Rattus norvegicus: one gene and its partners. The protein of the gene in region 2 interacts with the protein of the main gene of each other region in a pairwise test. Links are inferred from orthologs where the notes say so. Each region holds a gene or a part of one and is shown on either strand. Other genes may lie near its edges. The genes, in order: Ddit3, Cebpe and Cebpg.

What was found.
Region 1: the proteins of Cebpe (region 2) and Ddit3 interact in binary tests that used the Homo sapiens proteins (3 or more experiments, as listed by UniProt). The link is inferred for Rattus norvegicus from reciprocal best matches to the Homo sapiens genes CEBPE and DDIT3.
Region 3: the proteins of Cebpe (region 2) and Cebpg interact in a two-hybrid assay, tested with the Homo sapiens proteins (2 studies listed by BioGRID and IntAct, with this or other methods). The link is inferred for Rattus norvegicus from reciprocal best matches to the Homo sapiens genes CEBPE and CEBPG.

The regions. Positions count from the first base shown.
Region 1 is NC_086025.1:65,000,500-65,004,497, forward strand, and holds the start of Ddit3 (DNA damage-inducible transcript 3 protein), read left to right. Parts: upstream 1-1,195; 5' UTR 1,196-1,230; coding exon of another isoform or gene 1,231-1,293; intron 1,294-3,788; coding exon of another isoform or gene 3,789-3,830; 5' UTR 3,831-3,836; intron 3,837-3,998. Other genes in the region: uncharacterized LOC128125814 homolog, read left to right, coding at 1,231-1,293, 3,789-3,830. UniProt on the Homo sapiens protein: Multifunctional transcription factor in endoplasmic reticulum (ER) stress response. Plays an essential role in the response to a wide variety of cell stresses and induces cell cycle arrest and apoptosis in response to ER stress.
Region 2 is NC_086033.1:32,139,204-32,142,998, reverse strand, and holds Cebpe (CCAAT/enhancer-binding protein epsilon), read left to right. Parts: upstream 1-1,522; 5' UTR 1,523-1,710; coding exon 1,711-2,220; intron 2,221-2,773; coding exon 2,774-3,109; 3' UTR 3,110-3,283; downstream 3,284-3,795. UniProt on the Homo sapiens protein: Transcriptional activator. C/EBP are DNA-binding proteins that recognize two different motifs: the CCAAT homology common to many promoters and the enhanced core homology common to many enhancers.
Region 3 is NC_086019.1:96,826,896-96,830,968, reverse strand, and holds the start of Cebpg (CCAAT/enhancer-binding protein gamma), read left to right. Parts: upstream 1-1,232; 5' UTR 1,233-1,391; intron 1,392-1,424; exon of another isoform or gene 1,425-2,124; intron 2,125-4,073. UniProt on the Homo sapiens protein: Transcription factor that binds to the promoter and the enhancer regions of target genes. Binds to the enhancer element PRE-I (positive regulatory element-I) of the IL-4 gene. Binds to the promoter and the enhancer of the immunoglobulin heavy chain.

The DNA of each region.
Region 1 (3,998 bases), on a different chromosome or scaffold from region 2:
ACAAACTCTGGCTTGCCCCTCCCGAGTGTACGACAGACTATGTAATAGGCCACCACATGGCCTCTGTTTTCATGGCACAAAAAATAGGTTTTGCAAGATGTTTTTACTTTTACTCAAGTTTTCTTCACAGTGCTGTTTTTACCTTTACCTATCATTCTTTAATTTACAACTGAGTACGGTAGATTCCTTGGGCAAATTAAACTAGAATGACCCAGTCCAGGCAATCATGCGCTCAAGTGCATGCACGTCCCAGTCTCTAGGTCGTGAACCCAGACACCTAGAGGCATGAGGCCAGCTAATCAGCAGGGAGTCACAGGACTTGCTATCTTGGAGAAGGAAAAGGGTGGGTATTGGGCTTAGTGAAGGGCATAAGAGCATCACACAAAGCAGGGGTAGGATAAGTAGGCAGGAGGCTACACTCTACAAAGAACTTGAATTCTGGCACGCAGTGGACGATTCTGAAACAAACGTTAAAGCTGCCCTTCTGAGAGAAGCGGATGGACTACCAAGGAAATGCCAGTACCTCAGTCTTTGGGAAGCGTTAGAAGGCTAAAAGAGGAGGAGGTCTCTTAAAAGACTCCAGAAGATGTCAATCCAGGTGAACAAATTGGAAACTTTAAAGAGGTTCAAGAGCCTCGGTGCCCATTAGTTGGGAGGGGCCAGGGAAAATGAGTCTTTTATGGAGGAGTAAGTTAAAGGTGATGGGAGGTGGGCAGACAAGTTCAGGAAGGACAGCCGTTGGGGCCGTTGGACACTGTGAGCTGGCGCTCCGCCTTCTTTCCTCTCTCCCCCATCCCCCCCTCCCGCCCGCTCCCCAGCACCTCCCACCACCATCGACGTCTCCTGCGCGTGCGCGCGCGGACACCGGTTGCCAAACATTGCATCATCCCCGCTCCCCCTCCGCCCCCCCCACGTCATCCCCTCCCTCGCCGCACTCTCCTCCGCGCGCGCGCATGACTCACTCACCTCCTCTGCGAAGCCTCGTGACCCAAAGCCACTTCCGGGTCCGAGATAACGTAGACTCTCGAGCCAGAGGGCGCGATGGAGGCGGGGCCACGGGACTCCTGAGTGGCGGACGTGAGGGGTGAGGCGGAGCCTGTGCCAGCGTGCCGCTTTCTGATTGGTAGGCTCCTGGACACTACCCCCCCCCAGGAGGGACCGAATAGCATAAAAGATACTCGCTCTCCGCTCCAGAGGTCAGTATCTTGAGTCTAATACGTCGATCATACCATGTTGAAGATGAGCGGGTGGCAGCGACAGAGCCAAAATAACAGCCGGAACCTGAGGAGAGAGGCGAGTACTGACTCCGTCTACCCCTTACTTTCCCATCCTCGCCAACATAGCTATTCCACAAAGTTAGAGGCAACTGTCCTTGAGGGTGTAGCCCCACCCCTTCCACTGTGAGTTTGTAGACTGAGGGGCGAGTGAAGGCGGGTAATTCCTGATTCGGGAATGGTGCTTACAGGCCACCTCTTTGGGCGATTGCATTCCCGTTCCCTTGTCTCAGGTTGGTCCCTGCTCTGCAAAGGGACTCCGGTTGCCTTCGGAAATTTGTCTCAGTACTGACCATTTGCGGGCCATCTTAGGCCTAGGCGGTTCGCAGGAAAGGTGGGGCAACAGGACACACCCCCCAATGTTGGGGACTCCGGCTGTTAGCACCTCTTCTCCACCAGCCTCATTCCCCCCAACTCTTTCAAGCTGAAGCGCCTCAGGGACCACCAACATGGCCACTTTAGTAGCTGTCTCTAACGTTCAAGACAACTCAAAGACTGACAGATCTTTGCGAGTGGGGGTGCCGGTGGGAGGAGCATAGATGGGTTTTTCCCTTTTCCCCAGAGGTTTCTGGGTTTCCGTACAAGAGAGCAGCCTGGGTCTCTTTAACTATGGGAAATTACTTGGGATCTCTCCAGGGTCTTCTGCTTCTCTTAGGACTGATCTCTGCTTCTTTCCTCAGTCCTGTCTCCCAACTAATCTCTGTAACCGTTGCATCAGGCCAGCCCACTGTTTGTCTCTGCACCCTCAGGCCTGGGGCTCCTCTGCTGATGAAAGCCAGGTCCCACACACTGGAAGACCAAGGAGTTTTCCCTAGAGGACAACCCTGCAGAGAAACACTCAGGGCAATATTGCGTCTGCAGTCCCCAGAGACAGGCAGCTCAGCTCTGCCTTTGGGCTCAGTGGGCTTAGTTGTTCTCTATTCGTTCCTAACAAATGCCTAATAAGCACCCACTATGTGCCAAGCATTTGGGGATCCAGGGTATATTAGAAGCAAAAGACGAAACTGTTCTCAATAAAACTTACATTTCAATGTAAAGCAAAAGGGGGGAAAAACAGAAGCAGGGAAAAAATAGTTCAGGATGGTGGCTAGAGGTTTTATCATTCAGGAATTGCCTCAGTGGGTGGGTGAGATGGAAAGAAGGCAAGCCTGTGAGCCAAGCAGGTAATGTGGAAGAGGTTTATAGAAGGGAGAGAAGGAGCAGAAGGGTTGAGATGAGTGTGCCAGTATCCTTAGGAGCAGGGCAGTGAGCTGGACTAGAGTAAGCAGGAGAGGGTGGTGAATGGAAACTCAAGTAGCAGGTCCTGTAGAGCCTTGCAAGCATTCTCAGGATGCTAGTCTTTCAACAGTCCTGAAACAGGAATCCATTGGGGGATCTGAGCAGAGGAATGTCCTAAATTAAAAGGGTTGGGGAAAGACCCCATGCATTTAATTCCAACACTCAAAGAGGTAGGAGCAGGCAGAGCTCTGAGCTCCAGGCCAGCATAGTCAGATCCTAACTCAAAATAAATACAAAAACAAAGGGTTGAGTGTGTAGCTCAATAGTAGACTGCTTGCCTAGTATGTAGAGGGCCCTAGGTCAACCCGCAGCCATGAAAATAAAAAAGACAAGAATAGAAACAGGAGATCTTAGCTGGAAATAATGGCAAATGCCTTTAACCCCAGCACTTGAAAGGTAGGTAGATCAGAGTTCAAAGCCAGCTAGTCTACAAAGTAAGTTCCAGGACAGCAAAAGCTACACAGCAAGACCCTGTCTAAAAAAAAAAAAAAAAAAAAAAAAAAAAAGATTTCAAGGCTTCCAAAAATAATCTAGGGAATGAAATGCATAATGCATGGTAAGTTTACATCTGGAAATAATGAGAAAAAGTGAGAAATATTTAGGTTTTGGGTACTTCTAAAGAATATTGAAGTTGCCAGTGCTTTAGACTGAGCTGTGGTATCTGAGAAGGGAGGAATTAAGGATACCAAATGTTTGGCTTTAGGCACCTATAGTTGCCATTTAGTAAGAACTGTACCCCCTTGGTAGGAAAGGCCTTTTGTGTAAGCTGAATGCCTGCTCAACAACCAAAAGAGATGGAGATCCCAGGGCAGGTCTGGAGGCTAGGATGGGAATGGAGTTTAAGCAAATACTGCTGAAATCTCTCTTCCCTGTATTTTAGTTCTCACTTTGGCAGATCTGAGGTCTATCTGGATTTAGAGAAAACTTAGTTGGCCAGGACTTTGCTATTATGTAATCAGGACTACAAATGTCAGCAACTAAAAATAAAGTTAAGCATGCCTGTCCTTGGCTTCAGGGACACACACACACACACACACACACACACACACACACACACACACACACACGAGCCTCTCTGTGGCCTGGTCTACAGAGTTGAGTTCCAGAATTCCAGGATGCCCCGGGCTTCACAGAGAAACTGTCTCAAAATCCAATGACAGAAATTAAGAAACCAGCTAGAGAAAGACCAGTAAGAGGCTAGAGGTAAAGGACCTGTTTCTTCCCCTTTCTCCACAGTGTTCCAGAAGGAAGTGCATCTTCATACACCACCACACCTGAAAGCAGGTAATCTTAGCCACCCTCCCAGTCAGCTCCTAATGCTGCTCAACTTGCTTTGCTGGGATGAGAGTTAGACCAGGCCTTGACCAGAACCAGCTTTTGCTGTCAGACCATGTCTTTCTCTGATCCCATAATGTTGTTTTAGAGCTGGCTTGTCTCAAAGTCAGC
Region 2 (3,795 bases):
GAGCACTGACTGCTCTTCCAGAGGTCCTGAGTTCAAATCCCAGCAACCACATGGTGGCTCACAACCATCTGTAATGAGATCTGATGCCCTCTTCTGGTGTATCTGAAGACAGCAAGGGTGTACTCACATACATAAAATAAATAAATCTTTTAAAAAAAAAAAAACCAAAAAACTAAATTCTCTCTCTAGAACATCTGTTTGCAATAAAAGAGCCAGGAAGGTACGACGGCACATCTGTTAGCTCAGCTCCATAGAGGCTGAAGCAGGAAGATGAGAGTTCAAGGCCAGCCTAGGCTAACAGGGAGACTCAACCTAAAAAAAAAAAAAAAAGTTAAACGTAACACAACACACTTCTCATGTCTCTGTGTTCTTTTCTTGCCACTAAATCCAGAGCCTTGCCTGAAACAGAGCCACAACCGACTGGAAGGAGCGAGAAGTTCCCAAACAAAAGAGAAAAATACACTTTGGAGGTTAGTAGAAGATCAAGAAGGGCAATCGGGCAGCTACCGGTTTCTCCTCCGGACCCTGAAAGAGCCCCAGGAAGAGGGGAAGACAAGAGAGAAGGCTTCTCAAGCCTACAAGAGGAAGTGGACCCGAGAGACACGAAGTAGAGGTCAGAAAACAGTCATGCAGAAGGAAAGCGGCAAACTAAGCTGCCCTGAGCTCCAAGGCCTGCATGCAGCCCAGGGCACAGGAAGTAGGAGGCAGAGCCTCTGGCCAGTTGCGGGGTGGGGTCAGCCTGAGCCTCTTTCAGGGTGGAGCAACTGGGACCTCCAGCAGATCTTGTCTGTTGGTTCTGGGGCAGCCTGGGCCCGAGGTACAGGGCCCATGTCCTGACCAGAAACCTCAGCTATGTCCAAGCAGTCCGGGACTGTGCCGGGCTGCTAGCCTGGATACATGCGCACAAGCCCTGTGCAAAGACCTAGCCTTAATAGCAGCACTCTGGAGGTAAAGGCAGGCAGAACTCTGTGAGTTCAAGGCCAGCCTGAGCTACATCATGAGATCCTGTCTCAAAACTAGCATGAGCATACCCCTTACTAGGGCCAGGGCTAGCTTGGTCCTAGAATCTACTGCTGTTTTCCAAACCCTTCAAGCAACGAAGGCCTACACGAGGCCTGGGAGGTGGGGCTGTAGAGGAACTGACTTACCCCAGGGTAGGTGGAGTTCAGGACTTGGGGGGAACAGGGAAGAAGATGCATCAAGGGAGGAGTTTAGATCAAGTTGGCACTGGAGGAGTGCTTTGTCTGCTGGCTCTGGCTTGGCGCCTCACTCTGCACGGGTCTCTTTGGAAGTCGGAGGAAGACAGGCATTCAGAGAAGCTACTCTGGGGCAAGGGATTAGAATCCCTTGAGCTCACAGGCAAGAAGGGCCATTTTCCCAAAGAGCAAATGCTGGACTGTGGCTGGGGCCTCAGCAAAGAGCACCCTAACTGCTAAGCACCCCTCCCTCCGGGGTGTGCCCTGCCCCTCCCTGAGTCACACCAAGGAGAGAGAGGAAAGGGAAGAAAGGAGAGGCACTGACTACAGAAGGAAAGGGAAGCAGAGGAGGAGAGAAGCCACGTAGGAGTTGGTGACAGAGAAGACCAGAGAGGGCAGACCTAGGGCAAATCTAGGACAGGGGGAGATCAAGAGAGGGCAGGCTGAGCATCCCAACGTGGGAGCGCCCCTGAGCACAGGACCCAGGGGCGGGGAGCCAAGGGGCGGGCCGGCCATGTCCCACGGGACCTACTATGAATGCGAGCCTCGGGGTGGCCAGCAGCCACTTGAGTTCTCAGGGGGTCGAGCTGGGCCCGGGGAGCTGGGGGACATGTGTGAGCATGAGGCCTCCATTGACCTCTCCGCCTACATCGAGTCTGGGGAAGAACAGCTACTTTCTGACCTCTTTGCCATGAAGCCAACGCCTGAAGCCCGAAGCCTTAAGGGCCCAGGAACACCTTCATTTCCTCACTACCTGCCGGCTGACCCTCGGCCATTTGCCTATCCCTCACACACATTTGGCCCAGATAGGAAGGCTTTGGGACCTGGCATCTACAGCAACCCAGGGAGCTACGACCCCAGGGCTGTGGCGGTGAAAGAGGAGCCTCGAGGGCCAGAGGGCAACCGAGGCACCGGCAGAGGCAGCTACAATCCCCTGCAGTACCAAGTGGCACACTGTGGGCAGACAGCAGTGCACCTCCCCCCGACCCTGGCAGCACCTGGCCAGCCCCTGCGCGTCCTCAAGGTAAGACTAAGGTAGCTCTCCTGGTTTCCTCCCCGGGGTGGAGCAAGGTGGTTGGATGAGGGAATTCTGACTACTGGGCATCCCTAACGAGTCTGTGTTTGGTGCTCCTCTGTGAACATGGCTTACCCCAAGACCCTGTTTCCAGACTCTGAATTCATTTCTCAGAGCTCTACTGTGTCCTAAAGATACTTGTAGTAGCCGCTCTATCCTGTTCCGGAGGAGGGAGGGAGCGTTCTGCTGTCCACTATGCCCCGTCTCTTGTTTCTCTGCTGCCTGCTTTCTGGATGAGGAAATGCGGCTGACTAGAATTTTTCAATAAGAGACTTATTGCAGACAAACCAAAGGAAAGGGTCCTCAGAGAATATGAGAGCAAAAGAAAGCTCTGGTCTCAGATCAGGGACCATATGCATCCGGGCTACACAGACACAGGGTGATGCCCGGGAGCCCTATATCCCTTTAAGGCCTCAAGTATGCCCTTTGCTACTGGGATTCCTGCTTAGCCTTCACTCGGCCTCCTGGTGGAGCCTCACCTCTCTGTCCCCTTACCCTCCAGGCCCCTGTGGCGGCTGCTGCCCCTCCCTGCAGCCCCCTTCTCAAGGCACCCTCCCCTGCTGGCCCCTCGCACAAGGGCAAGAAGGCAGTGAACAAAGATAGCCTGGAGTACCGGCTGCGACGCGAACGCAACAACATCGCAGTGCGCAAGAGCCGGGACAAAGCCAAGAGGCGCATTATGGAGACACAGCAGAAGGTGTTAGAGTACATGGCGGAAAATGAGCGTCTGCGCAGCCGCGTGGACCAGCTCACCCAGGAGTTAGACACTCTCCGCAACCTCTTCCGCCAGATCCCCGAGGCTGCCAGCCTCATCAAGGGTGTCGGGGGCTGCAGCTGAGCCTGCCTGGCAGACTATGGGCACCGGGCCCTAAGGACCCCGCCCACCCTCCTAGGTCCCCAGAGTCCTAAACAGGCCAAGCCTGAAAAAGAGATCATGGACAATGGCAGCCAGTAACTGGGAAAGTCGGGACCAAAATGATTCTGTGGCTGAATAAATTGCACTGTGACTTGATGCTGGAGCTGTTCACTGGGTCTTGGGCCAGGGCCTGGTGGGAATGCTGTGTGTATACTCCTGGAAGACCCCGAGGGCAGGGAATACATGTGGCTAGTCCACATCGTGTCTTCTCCATGGCCAAATGAACGCCTAGAAATACTAACATGCTACCCATGGCTCTGTCCGTCACACCCTCCAGCCAAGCCTCAGCCTGTCCCTCTCTGCTCCTCTGTCACTTCACCTCCATGTCCACCCACCTACCCACTTGGTCCTTTGTACACTGAGCACAGGCTTGGTAGCACCACCACGGTGCAAGCCAGTGTCTGGAGCAGCCTCTGCATCGTGCCCTGAGAAACTCCTGGGGCTCAGCGTGATCCAAGTGCTACACAGCTCCAATGCCAGGCCCACTGACCTTTGGCCTGCTCTCTGACTTTAGGCCTGGGAGCTCTTTTCCCAGGTGACCAAGGGAAATTTTTCTGATGGCCCTGCCATATTCGTGGTCCTTGAGCTGTGGATCCAGCATTCAGTCT
Region 3 (4,073 bases), on a different chromosome or scaffold from region 2:
GAGGCTTGCCAAGAACCAACACAGAATGCAGCTGTCAGGGAGGGTAGCTGGCAAAAAGAGAGTCTACCTCAATGTACATATGACATACAAGGATATTTTTATTTTCTATAGTTTTTATATGATTAGAAAATATTAGGGATAAGATCATGATTATTTTGTGAGAAACAAAGCACAGTTCATCTTTGATAGTGCTAAGAGTCATGAAAAAAAAAATGGCTCTTAACACAGCGATCCAAACCTAAAGAAACATACTGGTTTTGAGACAGCTCCCCAAATGTGCATAGGGTTATCAGGAGTCATTCTCTGTGTTTGCCTGTTTTTTGTTTTTTGTTTTTTGTTTTTTTGTTTTTTTTGTTTTTTTCTTTTTTTGTAGGTATTCTCATCTCTCAGGGATTCCTGGAAGTCTTAAGTGGAGAGCTGCTCTCCTGGCCTTGGCGCGGATGAAGAAACATTTCTTTTTGAAAGCCAGTGAGTTTTGAATGATAAGCATTGCTAAAGAGGAAGCAATCAAACCTATCTCTCAGGCTCTGCCCTCCACCCAGCACGCTGCTTCCTGTACTTCAAAAAACAAAAACAAACAAACAAACAAACAAAACCCAACAAAACCAGCTTTTTGATTCTTTTGTGAACTGTTTGGGAGAACCAGGCTGGACTGCTTGTCACTTTTAAGACAGCACCTCAGGTCCATCATCCGCTCTCACAGAGACGAGCACACTTTGGAAATCGTGATTTGTCTGAGAGCCACAGTCTACTGTTCTCAAGAGTGTGACAAGTGCTAACCCTAGCACTGGACAGTTTTTCCTTAACGTGCTTTTGTCAAAATGAAGTTTGCAGACGCCCTAGGGCCGCGAGGCCTAAACAAAACAAAAAAAATCAAAATCACTAACTCAAAAATCCACCCGAGGAAATGCCATTTCCCTAAGGCAGGTGAGACTCTCATTACTATGACAGAACTTTTCTCGCTACCGGTCACTCCCATCGCTCAGGGCCGCCGCCCGCCACCACGGACAGCCTAAGGGGGAAACCGCGGAGCGCGCCTCCAGCCAGCGCCGGTGCTACCACGCCCACCACGCCCGCTCCGCCGTAAGTCCGCCTCTTGCTGCCACCCTGGCTGTGATTGGCTGGTGGAGCTGCCGGTCTTGAGAAGCGAGCGCGTCGTTCTCCGAGCAGCGCTTCTATTGGTCACGGCTGCGGCGGCAGCGCGCGGACCCGAAGAGGAGGGGAAAGCCGGTGGCCGCGGTGGCGGAACGGGCGGAGGCTGCCGGTTTCGTAACCGTCGCTCCTCCTCGCCGACTCGCAGGCTGCGAGGCCTGGGTAGGGTCGGACCGCGCCGCGCGGGGCCGCTCGGAGTGGAGGCCGTCTGGGGGCGGGCGGGCCGGCCGGAGGCGCAGGTAAGGAGGCCGCGGGTTCTAGCTCGGAGGGGTTGGGGGAGGAGGCCGCAGCGGAGCCCGCCGCTCGCGTAGGCACCGGCCGGGCTCGAGGAGACCCGGCCCTGCCGGATTCAGCAGGTTGGCCCGGAAGGCCCCCGGCGGCTTGGCGGCGCGGGCGGGGACCGGGAGCGGCGTCTGATGCAACCTGCGGGCAACACCCGGCGGGGCTGAGCTCATCCCTGGCCGCGGCCCAGCGCCGCCGCGCAGGGCGCCGACCCCCGCGCTCCCCCAGGCGCCCCCTCACCACAGTCGGGGAAGGGATGGAGTACCAGGTGGCCCCTCCAGAACCTGCTCCCCGGCGACGTGCAGCGTGACAAGCCTGGCGCGCATTGGCCCCTGGGAATGGAGAGTGTTTCTAGAATAGAAGATGGACCGAATCTTACTTTGGAGCCACCTAGGACTCTTCTGTCGCTTCCCAAACGGCTCGGTCTGGGGGAGGAGGGCCCGGGTCCTATTTGGAGTTAATAACCTAGTGGTCATCTAGGGAAGGCACTTGATTTTTTAAACACTTAGCGCTGCAAGAGGGAGATTTCGTTTGTTTTTTGGGACGCGGCCGCGTGTCTTGTAGTTCATTGGGAGGGGAAGGACATCCTAGATAGCGCACCGGTTCACTAGACGCAGAAGGTCAAGCCATGAAGCCTTTCCTTAGCTCGCCTGGAGGGAACTCGGGAAAAGAGCCAGCAGACGAATACAGGTGGAGAAGTTGGGCGGCGTGCGTGAGGATTGTTTCTCTTTCTAAGTGCGCTTGTGTATTTCTGGTCTTAAGAAGGCTGGCATGCTTAGATTTGCTCTGCTCTTTGTTGTATTTTGTTTGTTTCTTTGTAAGCCGCCTCATAAGATGTATCAAATTTAGAAAGGTTTTAACCTTTGTGAGTTGCACAACAGCTGGGGCCTGTGTCTCTGGAGTTTCCACCCGCTTGAATCCTTACTTGAATATATTATCATTGAATGCATACCTGTCTCACAGAGGAAATTTTGAAATAAAGCACCCCGTCTTTACTGAGAAATTCAACATAGAAGAATTCAGAGCATGGTAGGCAAGCCACTCTACCTCTGAGCCGCATCCCTAGCCTTCAGAGCGCTCTAAGGTCCGTTCAGCTGTTGTCATTTGAGTAGTATTAATAAGCTATCCCTGCGGTTCTTACCTGTTCCTGAAAAACTGTAGATAATGGCAGGACGCTACTGAGCTGAAGAAATACTTGAGTCTGTTTCCTGAGTCCGATGGGCATGCCCGACTGACTCAGTTATTTTTATGACCTATCAGAAACAAATAGGTGGGAGCAGACTTCCCTCCCCCTCCCCCAATATCCTTTAAATTCTCACACCACGTCATGATTGCCAGCCAGCTCTGTGATCTTGGAGAGGTCCTTTCATCCCTAGCGAATTAAATGCTCCCTAGGAAAGTCCCTGGGAGCATTCCCTTCTGAGATCATGGGAAGACACACAGGACCTGGTTGACAGTTGCCACAGTCACAATAATGAGTACTGTAGCAATTTTAGGTTTCCCTCAGAGGGGTGGTTGCATAGGTTCTTACACTAGCAAGTTTATTGGTCCTCTCTCTAGTCCATTGCTGTGCCCTGCCATTAAAGAGAGGGAAAAAAGTGAACAGGAACTCCTAATAAATATAGTTATAAACAATGTATTTTTGAATGTGCTAAATAGTACTATAAATAGATGTAAAGGATAACATCCAAACAAGCTTATGTTTTCTTCACAACTCCAGTGGACCACTTACACTGAACTCCTTGAAGGAGTCTCCTCTCCTTCATGGACTCTGCCTCCTACAGTCTCCAGGGAGCTGGGATTGCCAAAGAGACTGGGGGAGCAGATTGAACAAAAGGCACAAAGAGAAAACAGAGACCATTTAGAATGCTTTAGGGAGCAGAACTTGTAGAGAGGGTTAGGATCTTGGCTTTGATCCTGTAGTCACAGACATTGATTTTTAGTAGCAAGATGTGACATTGTTAGGTTTGAATGGAAGACTGCTTGACTTGCAGGTACCAAACTCTTTGAGGTCAAATGACTGATCCTTTTATAGGGGTCACCTAAGACCATCCGAAAACAGATATTTATATCATGATTCATAACCATAGCAAAATTACAGCTATGTAGTAGCAACGAAAATAACTATGGCTGGGGGTTGCCACAGCATGAAGAACCTGTATTAAAGGGTCAAAACATCAAGAAGGTTAACTATTGCTCTAGATAATCTAGATAGTGGGTGCTTGGAGGGAGCTCAGGCTGCTACACCAGAGGCTAGGGCTCCTGGGAGATGATGTCAACCTGAGGTAATTTCTGTGGCATTAGGAACGACAAGAGATGTGGGATATTTTTGTTTGTAAACCTGAAGACTCAACCTTCATTAAGGAAATTGAGTGAAGATTTGATTTTGGGGGGCTAATGGAGGGATACATGGTTCTATCTAGGTTTATGGAAAAAAGTGACAAGCTAGGGAAGTTCTGTACAGGTTTATTGTTCCAAGTAAAAATTTAGACAAGTTCTATTTTACTATTCTAACATTCCAGAGTTTCATTGTTTTATTCTTTTGAATGAACATTATTACTTTAGTTAATAAATTTGCATTTGAAGAAAGTTTTACTCTTTAAACATAGCCTCATATTCCTAAAATCCATTGTTTATAT